2 linked regions of the Callithrix jacchus genome follow. The protein of the gene in region 1 interacts with the protein of each later gene in a pairwise test. Links are inferred from orthologs where the notes say so. Each region holds a gene or a part of one and is shown in the gene's direction. Other genes may lie near its edges.

What was found.
Region 2: the proteins of PRKG1 (region 1) and ZNF646 interact in binary tests that used the Homo sapiens proteins (3 or more experiments, as listed by UniProt). The two-hybrid records come from large-scale screens. The link is inferred for Callithrix jacchus from reciprocal best matches to the Homo sapiens genes PRKG1 and ZNF646.

The regions. Positions count from the first base shown.
Region 1 is NC_133513.1:79,219,280-79,225,727, reverse strand, and holds the start of PRKG1 (cGMP-dependent protein kinase 1), read left to right. Parts: upstream 1-2,157; 5' UTR 2,158-2,261; coding exon 2,262-2,572; intron 2,573-6,448. UniProt on the Homo sapiens protein: Serine/threonine protein kinase that acts as a key mediator of the nitric oxide (NO)/cGMP signaling pathway. GMP binding activates PRKG1, which phosphorylates serines and threonines on many cellular proteins.
Region 2 is NC_133513.1:30,602,293-30,608,186, forward strand, and holds part of ZNF646 (zinc finger protein 646), read left to right. Parts: intron 1-907; 5' UTR 908-986; coding exon 987-5,894. UniProt on the Homo sapiens protein: May be involved in transcriptional regulation.

The DNA.
Region 1 (6,448 bases):
ATAATAGATTTATAGGAAAAAGTCATTTTGCATTAAACATTTTCTCATGAAAATAAAGAATTCCCACAGGTTAAAAAGAATTTGGCCTTTTGCCTGGAAGAAGGAAATTGTCATAGAGGCTTTTTCAGAATACAGTGAGTTATACGAAGTCACAGTACTTCTGCTTGATTTACTTTTAATTAAAACAATTCAGAGCTATTATTTATTATTTTCAATATTTGTAAGTTACTCATTTCTTCATTGTAAATGCAAATGTTTTGAGAATGATCCATTGTATATGTCACATTTAGAAATAAATGCACTTCTGAAAGTCTATGTTGGAAAGCAGAAAAAAGAAATGTCTAATGTCATCTGCACTAAGAATTATTAAATCATAATCTACATAAAAGACTGTTATATCTTTTGTCATTTAGTCATCTAATTACAAACAACTACACTTTAAATGAGCAAGCTTATTAACATGCCTTAATCTCCCTCCTTCCCTCCCTCCCTCCCTTCTTTCCTCCTATACATTGTATTCCTCCTCTGTCTCTAGCTTAAATTCAAAAGGTTGTGTATTCAAAAGCAACAGTGTGCAAGTTTTTTGATAGTATTCTTTGCTAAGTTTAGAATTGCATTGCAATCCAATTTTATCTCTATTCATTTTGTTTTAGTGTTATGGAATGGCCAAATAAAGCATTGAGGATTATAATATTGAGTGCCCAAGAATAGTAATCAAAAGCCTGCCAATAAAGACGCTATAAAATTGCATGAGTTGGTAACATCTTAAGCAAATATTCGGAATTTAGGTACGTATTAGGCAGATATTTGGGGATTCTAAACGTGTTCCCATGAAGGGAGAGTAAAACTTGGATAGAAAATAAGTTGTCTAATTGTGATCAGGGGAATATTGAGGGGGAAGAGGTGGGGTTGGGGGGGTAGAGGTGGAGGATGGCTGCGGTATAGTGTACAATTCACTGGAGCCCATGTAGTCTCCCTCGCTCCTTCACGATTTTCCCTCTTCTTCAAAGTTTGTGTCAGGATGTCATCCTGGCCATTTAAGTGGAAAGATACATTCCTAGAGCTTGGTTGTGAGGAAAGTAATATTTTTGAAGGTATGATTCAATTTCAGGATGAACTTTTTGGAGCTCTAGAATGATTTTTAACCCCCCGCCCCTCCCCCGCCAAATTCAGCAAAAGGAAGAAGCAAGGCCCAGCAGTGAACTATTCCCAGGCACCAGCTCAAGGCGGAGGGCTGATGAAGAAGCTGAGTGGCTTGCTAGGGCCCAAATCCGTTTTTGCCTTTGCCCTAAAACAGTTCCGTGATTGGAGTTTGGAAGGGGCAGAAAAAAGAGTAACTATCGGGAATAGGCAAAGAGTAGCAACGCCTGGGGGGTAAAAATCAGAACACCCCCTTCCCCACAACCCTTCCCCGAAGGCAGTAGGCTGAAAGGGGGAATCCCTCTCGGGCGCTGACTTGCTCGCCTGTCTGAGAGCCAAGTTTCTTCGCAAGCGTTAGCCACCTGTGTGAGGCGCTCCGGGTGGGAAAGGTGGCGTGGAAGAAGCGACAGCTTGGCCACGCGGCTCGCTCGGGAGCTTTCCTTGGTGAGGCCGGCCGTTAAAACACCTCCAGAACTCGGCGCTTTGAGGATAGAGTCCGCTCTGCCTCTTACGCCTCCAGGATCAGAGCCCCACTTTCTCCAGGCTGATCTGCTCTGGAGCCAGAAGACGCCTCCCGAGTTTGCCCGGGGTCCTCCCTGTCCCCTCCCTCCCACCTCCCCACCCTCGAAGTGGCGCTCCCGCCTCGCTCCGCCTGCACAGCTCCGGCGCGCCTGGAGGCTTATCAGGCTCCCCGCACGCCCCTGCGGCTTCCTCGGGCGCCCGGCGCGAGGGACTCTGACAGTACAGCCGCTGCCTCAGAGCCCCCCATTCACAGCCCCTCCTCCCGCTTCCCCGCCACCGCGCCCCCCAGCTCTTCTCCCCTGCGCCGCGCGCGGCGCCCACCGCGTGTCAGGCTTAATCCCGGGTTGGTCCTGGTGGTTTGCTCATCCCCACTCTCAGCCTCCCAGCCAGCGCAGAGAAGTGGAATCCGCACTGAAACTCTGGGTGGCTGGAGCAGGCGGACTGGGCATGCTCAGAAGCCAGGGCTGGCTTTGGTCTCAAGTAGGAAGCTTTTGCACTCGGGAGGCAGCGGCGACTTTGGGGAAAGTTGATCGGAGAGGGGAGGAAGCCCCAAGACGCGGAGCAGCGGCAGGAAGGAGCCCCCGGCAGCCCGGAGGAGCATGGGCACCCTGCGGGATTTACAATATGCGCTCCAGGAGAAGATCGAGGAGCTGAGGCAGCGGGATGCTCTCATTGACGAGCTGGAGCTGGAGTTGGATCAGAAGGACGAACTGATCCAGAAGCTGCAGAACGAGCTGGACAAGTACCGCTCGGTGATCCGACCAGCCACCCAGCAGGCGCAGAAGCAGAGCGCGAGCACCTTGCAGGGCGAGCCGCGCACCAAGCGGCAGGCAATCTCTGCCGAGCCCACCGCATTCGACATCCAGGATCTCAGCCATGTGACCCTGCCCTTCTACCCCAAGAGCCCACAGTAAGCAGGGGTGACGCGCCGGATCCATGCGGCGCCCTGGCGGTGGGGAGCTGCGGGTCTCTGTATTGTCTGTCGGCCCCCGCCCCTCCAGCTTGCCATGTCTGTCCTTATCCTCAGAAATGTTTCATTTTAACGGGCACTTCTTGCGGGGCTGTGCACGTTTCTTAGAGCCAGACTCACTGCACATACGTTGCCTTCTTGTCTTTGTCAGATGTCACGGTATTATTTTTATATATACATATGCATTCGTATAAGCCACCTAGTGTACGTAGAGTTTGAACGCGTCCCAGGTGTGTGTCCGACCGTGTGTATGAGTCTGAGAGAAGAAATAAAAAGCCCCCCTGTCTCCCAAAAGCCCCCGCAAGCCAGACTGGAAAATCCTAAATGCAGGCTCGTCAGACTTGAAATGAAATGCGTCTGATATCACCCATACTTTCTATGCTTTTGTGGCTTTCCCGGATTTCTCTACCTGCTGGCGCTTCACGCTGGTAGCCTTCAAACCTGATGTTCTTGTCATCATCAAAGTGTGAAACAGAAGTAAATATGTATAGGAAAGGGAAGAATTTTTGATTTCCTGAATTGGATGACATTTACAATCCATAAATGGAAGCCTAGTCTGTTGATTTTTAAGAAATATTTTTTCATAATACATGAGGGAGAAGATTGCTTATTTTCCTTAAGGAACGTGCATAATGTTACCAATGGAGCATCTCCATCTCCCAAGAGGTGGTTGTTTGTTTCCAGGGTCAGAGACAGATAAGCACACTTATCTTATTTACAACGTGGACCCATTGTTTGCCTTACTCTTGGCTTCTAATGCAACCACTCTGGCATTGTTCTATTCTTTTAGAGAACTGTGCAATTCTGTTGTCAGTGGGCTTCATAACTTAGATGGGAAAAATTCAATGAAACTTGTTATACAACACTCAACTCAGAGTTCACATGGAGAGTAAAGCTGCAGGAACATGAGGTTAACAGAGAATGTAGGAGAGCACCCAAATGAATGGCATTTTAAATTAACAGATAATTACATAATTGATAAAACCAAGGATGTTGCTGATTACTTTACTACTAATGACTTCACATTGGGTGGATGGCACTTGTTACATAATAATGCAAGCTCCCTTGAAACCCTTCACTTCATAATCACAGGAAGTTAATATAAGGAGAAAGTGAATACTCAGTTATCCCTATTTTTATTTATTGGATCTTTTTGGGGGGAATCACAGTATGTACCAATTATTACTTTTGAAAACTTAAGAGTCATACCTATACGTATTGATTCCCATGCAACATTTGCTGCTCGTGCAGGCTTAGTTTTGGGAGGAGTTTGCATTTTGTGAGGGAGTGGGAAAGAGACAATAAGGATAAACATTTCTGAGATTCCGACCCTATCAAATTGCCCTAATAGTTCAACAGACTTAGATCTGCCTTAGAAACCTGAGTGATCTGAATCTACTTCAACTTTCTCTTGTAAATTAATTTGCAGTCCTGACATGCCTGCCTGTTTTAGCTAACGAGGTACATGACCGTCTCTCCTGGGCCAAGTTTTGCATAATGAAAAAATAACTCAAAGACAGCTCTCTGCATCTTTGAACATTCCATAGGAGCTCATTTTCATATCTGCAGGACTTTGGAGGGACACAGAGCAAACTCTGCTTTCATGAAAAGACAATTTTAATAGGTTTTATAGTGAAGCATGATCAAGCCAGCTGATAACTCCAGTTAAACATTCCATCAGAGATCTACAAGATTCTAGGCAGTAGGGAATCAACTATATAGTGCGGAAAGTTTAAAAGCCTCTTTGTACTTGACTTGTAGAATAACTAGATTGAAAAACAAAAAAGGTCCACAGAGGAAAATAAAACTAGTATGGCAAATAATTTACAGCATCTCATTATAATACACATTTTATCTATCAAATAATGCTGTATATTCTGATACTGATTTATTTATAATAACTTATGTTTTAAAGGACTCAAGCACTTAAGGTATTGCCATGATGCTTTTGGTGACTCTGAAGCATTTTATTGAAGAAAATGATAGAATGCCTTCTAAGCTTAAATAATTTTGCAAAAACATCTGTTCTTTTTTCACACTTACATTAAAAAAATATTTTAAAAATTGGCTTCAGTAGTAGAAAGTATACCTTTCTTAGAGAAAAAAAAATTACATAGTATGCAAAATGAATAAATCTAATGTTATTTGAATGGTTGTATGAGGTAGCTCCACAAAGGATTAAGAAAACCTGCCAAACCTAAGAAGACTTGTTTATATTTCAGTGTATTTCACTATGAATAATTTCATTACACAGACTTACTGGCAACAAGTGTTTGTGTCTTTATATTTCATCTTTACCACATCTTAAATGTAGCCATCTTTCTTATACATATAGATTATTATGAGTTCAAGTTAAAATGAAACTATCTAAATAGACACATTAATTTCCAGTTCACATTTATGCTAGTTTTTGATTCTCTTTCCTTTAGATGTAGGTAACTGCCCCGTTAATGTTCTGTTCATTTATTTGATATATGCAAATATTTCTTTTTAGCTTTTGCTTGCTGAGTTTGCCTTCTGAGGATTACAATTTTTTTAAATTATGTTTTCTTGGTAATTTTGATCATTTAAAAATAGTACAAAATGTAAACTAACTTAATAACTTGAATCATCTTAACATTTTGGTTTTAGAATTTTCCATTAATGTGGGAATTGGAGGGAATGACTGTCAGATTTCAGCACAGAGCCAGGGCACTCCTGCTATAACTATGAGGTAGGAGGAGTGTTTTTGTTGGTGTCTTTTACAATCTGTATAAAAGCAGTGCTTATGTGAAGCAAAGAACTGATGTAGCAAATTGGAATCTATATTCTGCTGCTTCCGAAATAACTCCTTGAGAATATAAAACTACTAAACTATATTTTGAAATAATGAGCAAATAAACCCTTAACAAAACCCAAGCATTCATTATGTGAGAGCAGATAGCCTATTGATTGTATATATAGAATGTTTCTTATGGACTTAAGTAATTTTATTTCATGACATTTCATTCCTGAAATTGATTCTACATCACGTTAGAACATTCAGTCTCTGAAATTTTGATCTAAAACCCTTATCTTTTGAAAATATTCCCAAAACTCTTCCGTTTTCATGTCACAGGGTTTTAGTCATTTCGGTTGGACTATATAGACTTGAGCTCCTAAGAGTTGTTAGTATCTTTGTATTTTTGTGAGTTATTGCTTTCACTCCAGAAGCAGTTGGATTTCAGAGAATTTCTCCTTCCTTCCTTCTTTCCTTCCTCCTTTCTTCCTCCCGCTTCCCTCCCACTGCCTCCCTCCCTCCCTCCCTCCCTCCCTCCCTTCCTTCCTTCCTTCTGTCTCTCTTTCTCTCTTTCATCTTGCTTTGTCATCCAGGCTGGAGTGTAGTGGCACAATCTCGGCTAACTGCAATACCCACCTCCTAGGTTCAAGCAATTCTCCGACACCAGCCTCCCAAGTGGCTGTGATTTCAGGTGCATATCACCATGCCCAGCTAAATTTTGTATATTTTTTAGTAGAGATAGGGTTTTGCCATGTTAGCCAGTCTGGTCTTGAACTCCTGACCTCAGGTGATCTGCCCACCTGGGCCTCCTAAAGTGCTGAGATTATAGGCATGAGCCACAGTGACCGGCCCCTATTTTACTTTTTCATTGTGAAGTACTTTGGAGGAGTTGAAGATAAAAGTATTTTTATTTTTAAGGAGGCATTAATTTTAAAAGAGATTATTTGATCTTTTAAAATTTATAATATATCTGAAGAAAAACAAAATGTTTCTAAAGACTGTATATTAAATTCTGTCAGAAGTTGAGAGAATCCTAGAATTCTAGTGTAATCATAGAT
Region 2 (5,894 bases), about 49 Mb from region 1:
GGTTTTTCTTTTTTGAGATGGAGTTTTGCTTTGTCGCCCAGGCTGGAGTGCAGTGGCTTGATTTCAGCTCACTGCAACGTCTGCCTCCCAGGTTCAAGCAATTCTCCAACCTCATCCAGAGTAGCTAGGATTACAGGCTCCCACCACCATGCCTGGGTAATTTTTGTATTTTTCGTCGGGACAGGGTTTCAGCATGTTGGGCAGGCTGGTCTCTAACTCCTGACCTCAGGTGATCTGCCTGCGTTGGCCTCCCAAAGTGCTGTGATTATAGGCGTGAGCCACCATGCCTGGCCCAGCTAAGAGAGTCTTTTGGAAAAGAGACCTAGTGACACCGAAAGGACTCAGGGAAGTGGGCGAACAAGCCAGCCTTGTTCCTGAAGGAGGCCTCTAACCTCTCCTCTCAGGTCCTCAGTTGTTAACTGGAGGAAAGAAGCTGCTTTTTCAGCGCTTCTCGACTACTCTGTTTAGCTGAGATTTGAAGGAGGAAGGTTTGGACTTCTCTTATTGAAAGGCTTAGAGAAGGTTCTGGTGTTCTTTTAAGATGTCACAAAGTTTTTGTCTAAGGATTGTAGGGAGCAGAGGGTTAAAGGACAAGTAATGCCTTTTGAGTCTGGTCTGAAGAACGTGATAATAGGTCTGTGATCAGAAGTAGGTTGCATCCCTCTCAACTTTAATTTCCTTCGCTATACCTGTAGGGATAACTTAAGCGTAGGGGAGCTCCTATATTTAAGGGGCTTGTGCACAGGGAGGCCTTAAATGAGGGTGCAGATGGGATCTAGTAGAAGCAGATTCCTGGGCATGGATGCTTGGGGAACCTCTTGGTGACCTCAGGTAAACTTGTTACTAGTAGAACCAAGAAACAAAGTTAATTCAGGCCCTCCTTTTGACTACTGCCCCCTCTTCCTAGGCCTCGGCCCCTCCACCAGAGGAAGGTGCTGCCACCTGTCTACTCCTTCTGAACCTCCAGGTTTCTGCCACGTTGCCCTATGGAGGACGCACCCCCCTCACTCAGCTGTTCGGACTGTCATCGCCACTTTCCCAGCCTCGCAGAGCTGTCACGGCACCGAGAACTGCTCCATCCATCTCCCAACCAGGACTGTGAGGAGGCTGACAGCATCCCTCGGCCCTACCGCTGTCAGCAGTGTGGGCGGGGCTACCGTCACCCTGGGAGCCTGGTCAACCATCGTCGGACCCATGAGACTGGCCTTTTCCCCTGTACCACCTGTGGCAAGGACTTCACCAATCCCATGGCTCTCAAGAGCCACATGAGGACTCATGCTCCTGAGGGTCGCCGCAGGCACAGGCCCACACGCTCCAAGGAAGCCACTCCACGCCTCCAGCGTGAGATGGTGTCCACTGACACTTGGGGCCAAAGGCTTGGCTCTGGTGAAGGCTGGGAAAACCAGACAAAACATACCGAAGAGACACCTGACTGTGAATCTGTACCTGATCCCAGGGCAGCTTCAGGTACTCGGGAAGATCTACCCACCAGACAAAGAGAAGGCTGGGCAGGCCAGCCAGGTCCTGAGGATGGTACAGACGGCTGGGGGCCCTCTACCAACTCTGCCAGGGCCCCTCCCCTCCCCACCCCAGCCAGCAGCCTCCTTAGCAACTTGGAACAGTATCTGGCTGAATCAGTAGTGAACTTCACAGGGGGCCAAGAGCCTAGCCAGTCCCCTCCTGCGGAGGAGGAGCGGCGGTACAAGTGTAGTCAGTGTGGCAAGACCTACAAGCACGCCGGGAGCCTCACCAACCACCGCCAGAGCCACACGCTGGGCATCTACCCCTGTGCCATCTGCTTTAAGGAGTTCTCGAACCTCATGGCTCTGAAGAACCACTCTAGACTCCATGCCCAGTATCGGCCTTACCATTGTCCCCACTGCCCCCGTGCCTTCCGGCTCCCCCGTGAGCTGCTGGAACACCAGCAGTCCCATGAGGGTGAAAGGCAGGAGCCACCCTGGGAGGAGAAAGGGATGCTCACCACCAATGGGCACACAGACGAGAGCAGCCAGGACCAGCTGCCCAGTGCACAGATGCTGAATGGCTCTGCAGAGCTCAGTACCTCTGGGGAGCTGGAGGACAATGGCCTGGAGGAATACCGGCCTTTCCGCTGTGGGGACTGTGGCCGTACTTACCGCCATGCTGGGAGCCTCATCAACCATCGAAAGAGCCACCAGACGGGTGTCTATCCCTGCTCACTCTGTTCTAAGCAGCTATTCAATGCGGCTGCCCTCAAAAACCACGTGCGGGCTCATCACAGGCCCCGGCACGGAGTTGGGGAAAACGGGCAGCCATCAGTGCCGCCAGCTCCCCAGCTGCTGGCCGAGGCCACCCACAAAGAGGAAGAGGACCCCACCACCACCCTGGACCATCGGCCCTATAAGTGCAGTGAGTGTGGTCGTGCTTACCGCCACCGAGGGAGCCTGGTGAACCATCGCCACAGCCATCGGACTGGAGAGTACCAGTGTTCTCTCTGTCCCCGCAAGTACCCCAATCTCATGGCCCTGCGCAACCATGTGCGAGTACATTGCAAGGCTGCTCGCCGAAGTGCAGACCCTGGGGCCAAGGGTGCCCCCAGCCACCTCAAGGTGGAACTCCCATCCGACCCAGTGGAGGCAGAGGCAGCTCTGCACACAGATCAGGGGGACGTGTGCAAACATGAAGAAGAGGCCACAGATATCACCCCAGCAGCAGTCAGGACAGCAGCACAGATCTGTAGCATCTGTGGGCTACTCTTTGAAGACCCTGAGAGCCTTGAACGTCATGGCCTGACTCATGTGGTAGGCGAAAAGGAAAATAGCAGGACAGAGACCACGGTGTCGCCTCCTCGGGCTTTTGCCTGCCGAGACTGTGGAAAGAGCTATCGCCACTCCGGCAGCCTTATCAACCACAGGCAGACTCACCAGACAGGGGACTTCAGTTGCGGGGCCTGTGCCAAGCACTTCCATACCATGGCAGCCATGAAGAACCACTTGCGCCGCCATAGTCGGCGGCGGAGCCGGCGGCATCGGAAGCGGGCTGGCGGTGCCAGTGGTGGAAGAGAAGCCAAACTCCCGGCAGCAGGGAGCTGGATCCAGGAGCCGGAAGACAATGAAGGCCTGGCCTCTCCCCAAGATCCTTTAGAGAAAAGTTCTCACGGGGCTGAAGGCATCCTGGAAAGTGATGGGGATTGTTTGCTAGCTGAATCTGAAGGGGACAAATGTGGGCTTGAGAAGGAGGCTGAGACCCATTTCCAGGGTGATAAAGAGAGCAGAGGCACTGGGGAAGGGCTGGAAAGGAAGGATGCCAGTTTCCTTGACAACTTGGACATCCCAGGAGGTGAGGAAGGTGGTGGGACTCGCTTCTGCGATGATGTCACCATGGTGGATGAAGACCAGAAGCCAGCCACTGGTCAGCCCAACTCCTCTTCCCACTCTGCTGATGCTGTCACTGGCTGGGAGGCTGAGGCTGCTCACACATGCTCTGATTGTGGGCATTCTTTCCCCCATGCCACTGGCCTGCTGAGCCACAGGCCCTGCCACCCACCCGGCATCTATCAGTGCTCCCTCTGCCCAAAGGAGTTTGACTCTCTGCCTGCCCTCCGAAGCCATTTCCAGAACCACAGGCCGGGGGAGGCGACCTCAGCACAGCCTTTCCTCTGCTGCCTCTGTGGCATGATCTTCCCTGGGCGTGCTGGCTACAGGCTTCACCGGCGCCAGGCCCATAGCTCCTCTGGCATGACTGAGGGCTCAGAGGAGGAGGGAGAAGAGGAAGGAGCGGCAGAGGCAGCCCCCGCCCGCAGCCCGCCACTGCAGCTCTCGGAAGCAGAGCTGCTGAATCAACTGCAGCGGGAGGTGGAAGCGCTGGACGGTGCAGGGTATGGGCACATCTGTGGCTGCTGTGGTCAGACCTACGATGACCTGGGGAGCCTGGAGCGCCACCACCAAAGTCAGAGTTCTGGGACTACAGTAGACAAGGCTCCCAGCCCTTTGGGAACAGCAGGTGATGCCACAGAGATGGTCATGGACAGTGTCTTGGGGGACATAGTGACTTCTGTCTCTGGAGAGGGTGGAGATGCCAAGTCTGAAGAGGGAGCAGGCACCCCCTTGGGAGACAGCCTTTGCATGCAGAGTGGGGAAAATTTGCTGGAGGCTCAGCCCCGCCCCTTTCGCTGCAACCAATGTGGCAAGACCTATCGCCATGGGGGCAGCCTGGTGAACCACCGCAAGATCCACCAGACCGGAGACTTTCTCTGCCCTGTCTGCTCCCGCTGCTACCCCAACCTGGCTGCCTACCGTAATCATCTGCGGAACCACCCTCGCTGCAAAGGCTCTGAGCCCCAGGTTGGGTCCATCCCAGAGGCAGGAGGCAGCACTGAGCCCCAGGTTGGGCCCATCCCAGAGGCAGGAGGTAGCAGTGAGCCCCAGCACATGGCAGAGGAGGAGCTGGGGCAGGCAGAAGTAGAGAAGCTCCAGGAAGAACTTAAAGTGGAGCCCCTGGAGGAAGTGGCGAGGGTGAAAGAAGAGGTGTGGGAGGAGACCACTGTGAAGGGGGAGGAGATAGAGCCCAGGCTAGAGACTGCTGAGAAGGGCTGTCAGACTGAGGCCAGCTCTGAGCGGCCCTTCAGCTGTGAGGTGTGTGGCCGTTCCTACAAGCATGCTGGCAGCCTCATCAACCACCGGCAGAGCCACCAGACCGGCCACTTTGGCTGTCAGGCCTGTTCCAAGGGTTTCTCAAACCTCATGTCCCTCAAGAACCACCGGCGTATCCATGCAGATCCCCGACGTTTCCGCTGCAGTGAGTGTGGGAAGGCCTTCCGCCTGCGGAAACAGCTGGCCAGCCACCAGCGAGTTCACATGGAGCGGCGTGGGGGTGGTGGCACCCGAAAACCGACTCGAGAAGATCGGCCCTTCCGCTGTGGGCAGTGTGGGCGGACCTATCGCCATGCTGGCAGCCTCCTGAACCACCGGCGCAGCCACGAGACGGGCCAGTACAGCTGCCCCACCTGCCCCAAGACCTACTCCAACCGCATGGCTCTGAAGGACCATCAGAGGCTGCACTCAGAGAATCGGAGGCGGCGGGCGGGGCGGTCCAGGCGCTCAGCTGTGCGTTGCGCCCTCTGTGGCCGTGGCTTCCCTGGCCGGGGATCTTTGGAGCGGCACCTGCGGGAGCATGAGGAGGAGAAAGAAGGGGAGCCAGCCAATGCCCAGGGAGGCCCGGATGGCACAGTGGGCAGTGAGGCGAGCCTGGCTGGTGACCCAGGACTAGAGGCCCGGTTGGGTGGTACTGAGCCAGTGCCCCAGCTGGAGGATGGAGTCCCGAGACCAGGGGAGTGCAGTCAGAGCCCCCTCAGGGCAGCAGGCTCAGAAGCCCCAGAGTCACTGTCCTGGGGCACAGAGAAGGCAGGTGGGTGCCCAGGAGGTGGGGGACTCGGGAACCACAGTGGAGGCTGGGTTCCGCAATTCCTCACCAGGCCAGAGGAGCCAGAGGACAGTGTTCCCAGGAGTCCTTGCCATGCTGGTGACCGCCAGCTCAATGGACCTAGTCTGAGTCATATGGATAGCTGGAACAACAGCTCTCAGCTGCAGCCAGGGAGCCACTCTTTCTCTTGCAGCCAGTGCGGCAAGATTTACTGCCAGTCTGGCGGCCTCTTGAACCACAATACCCACAAGACAGACCGACACTATTGCCTGCTCTGCTCCAAGGAGATCTTGACTCCTATGGCCACTAAGAGCCACAGTCACAACCACATAGATGCCCAGACCTCTGTCTGCCCTGACTGTGGCAAGGCTTTTGAATCCTACCATGAACTGGCCAGCCACCTGCAGGCTCATACCCGGGGCCACAGCCAGGTGCCAGCCCAAATGGAGGAGGCCAGAGATCCCAAAGCAGGGACTTGGGAGGACGAGGTGGGC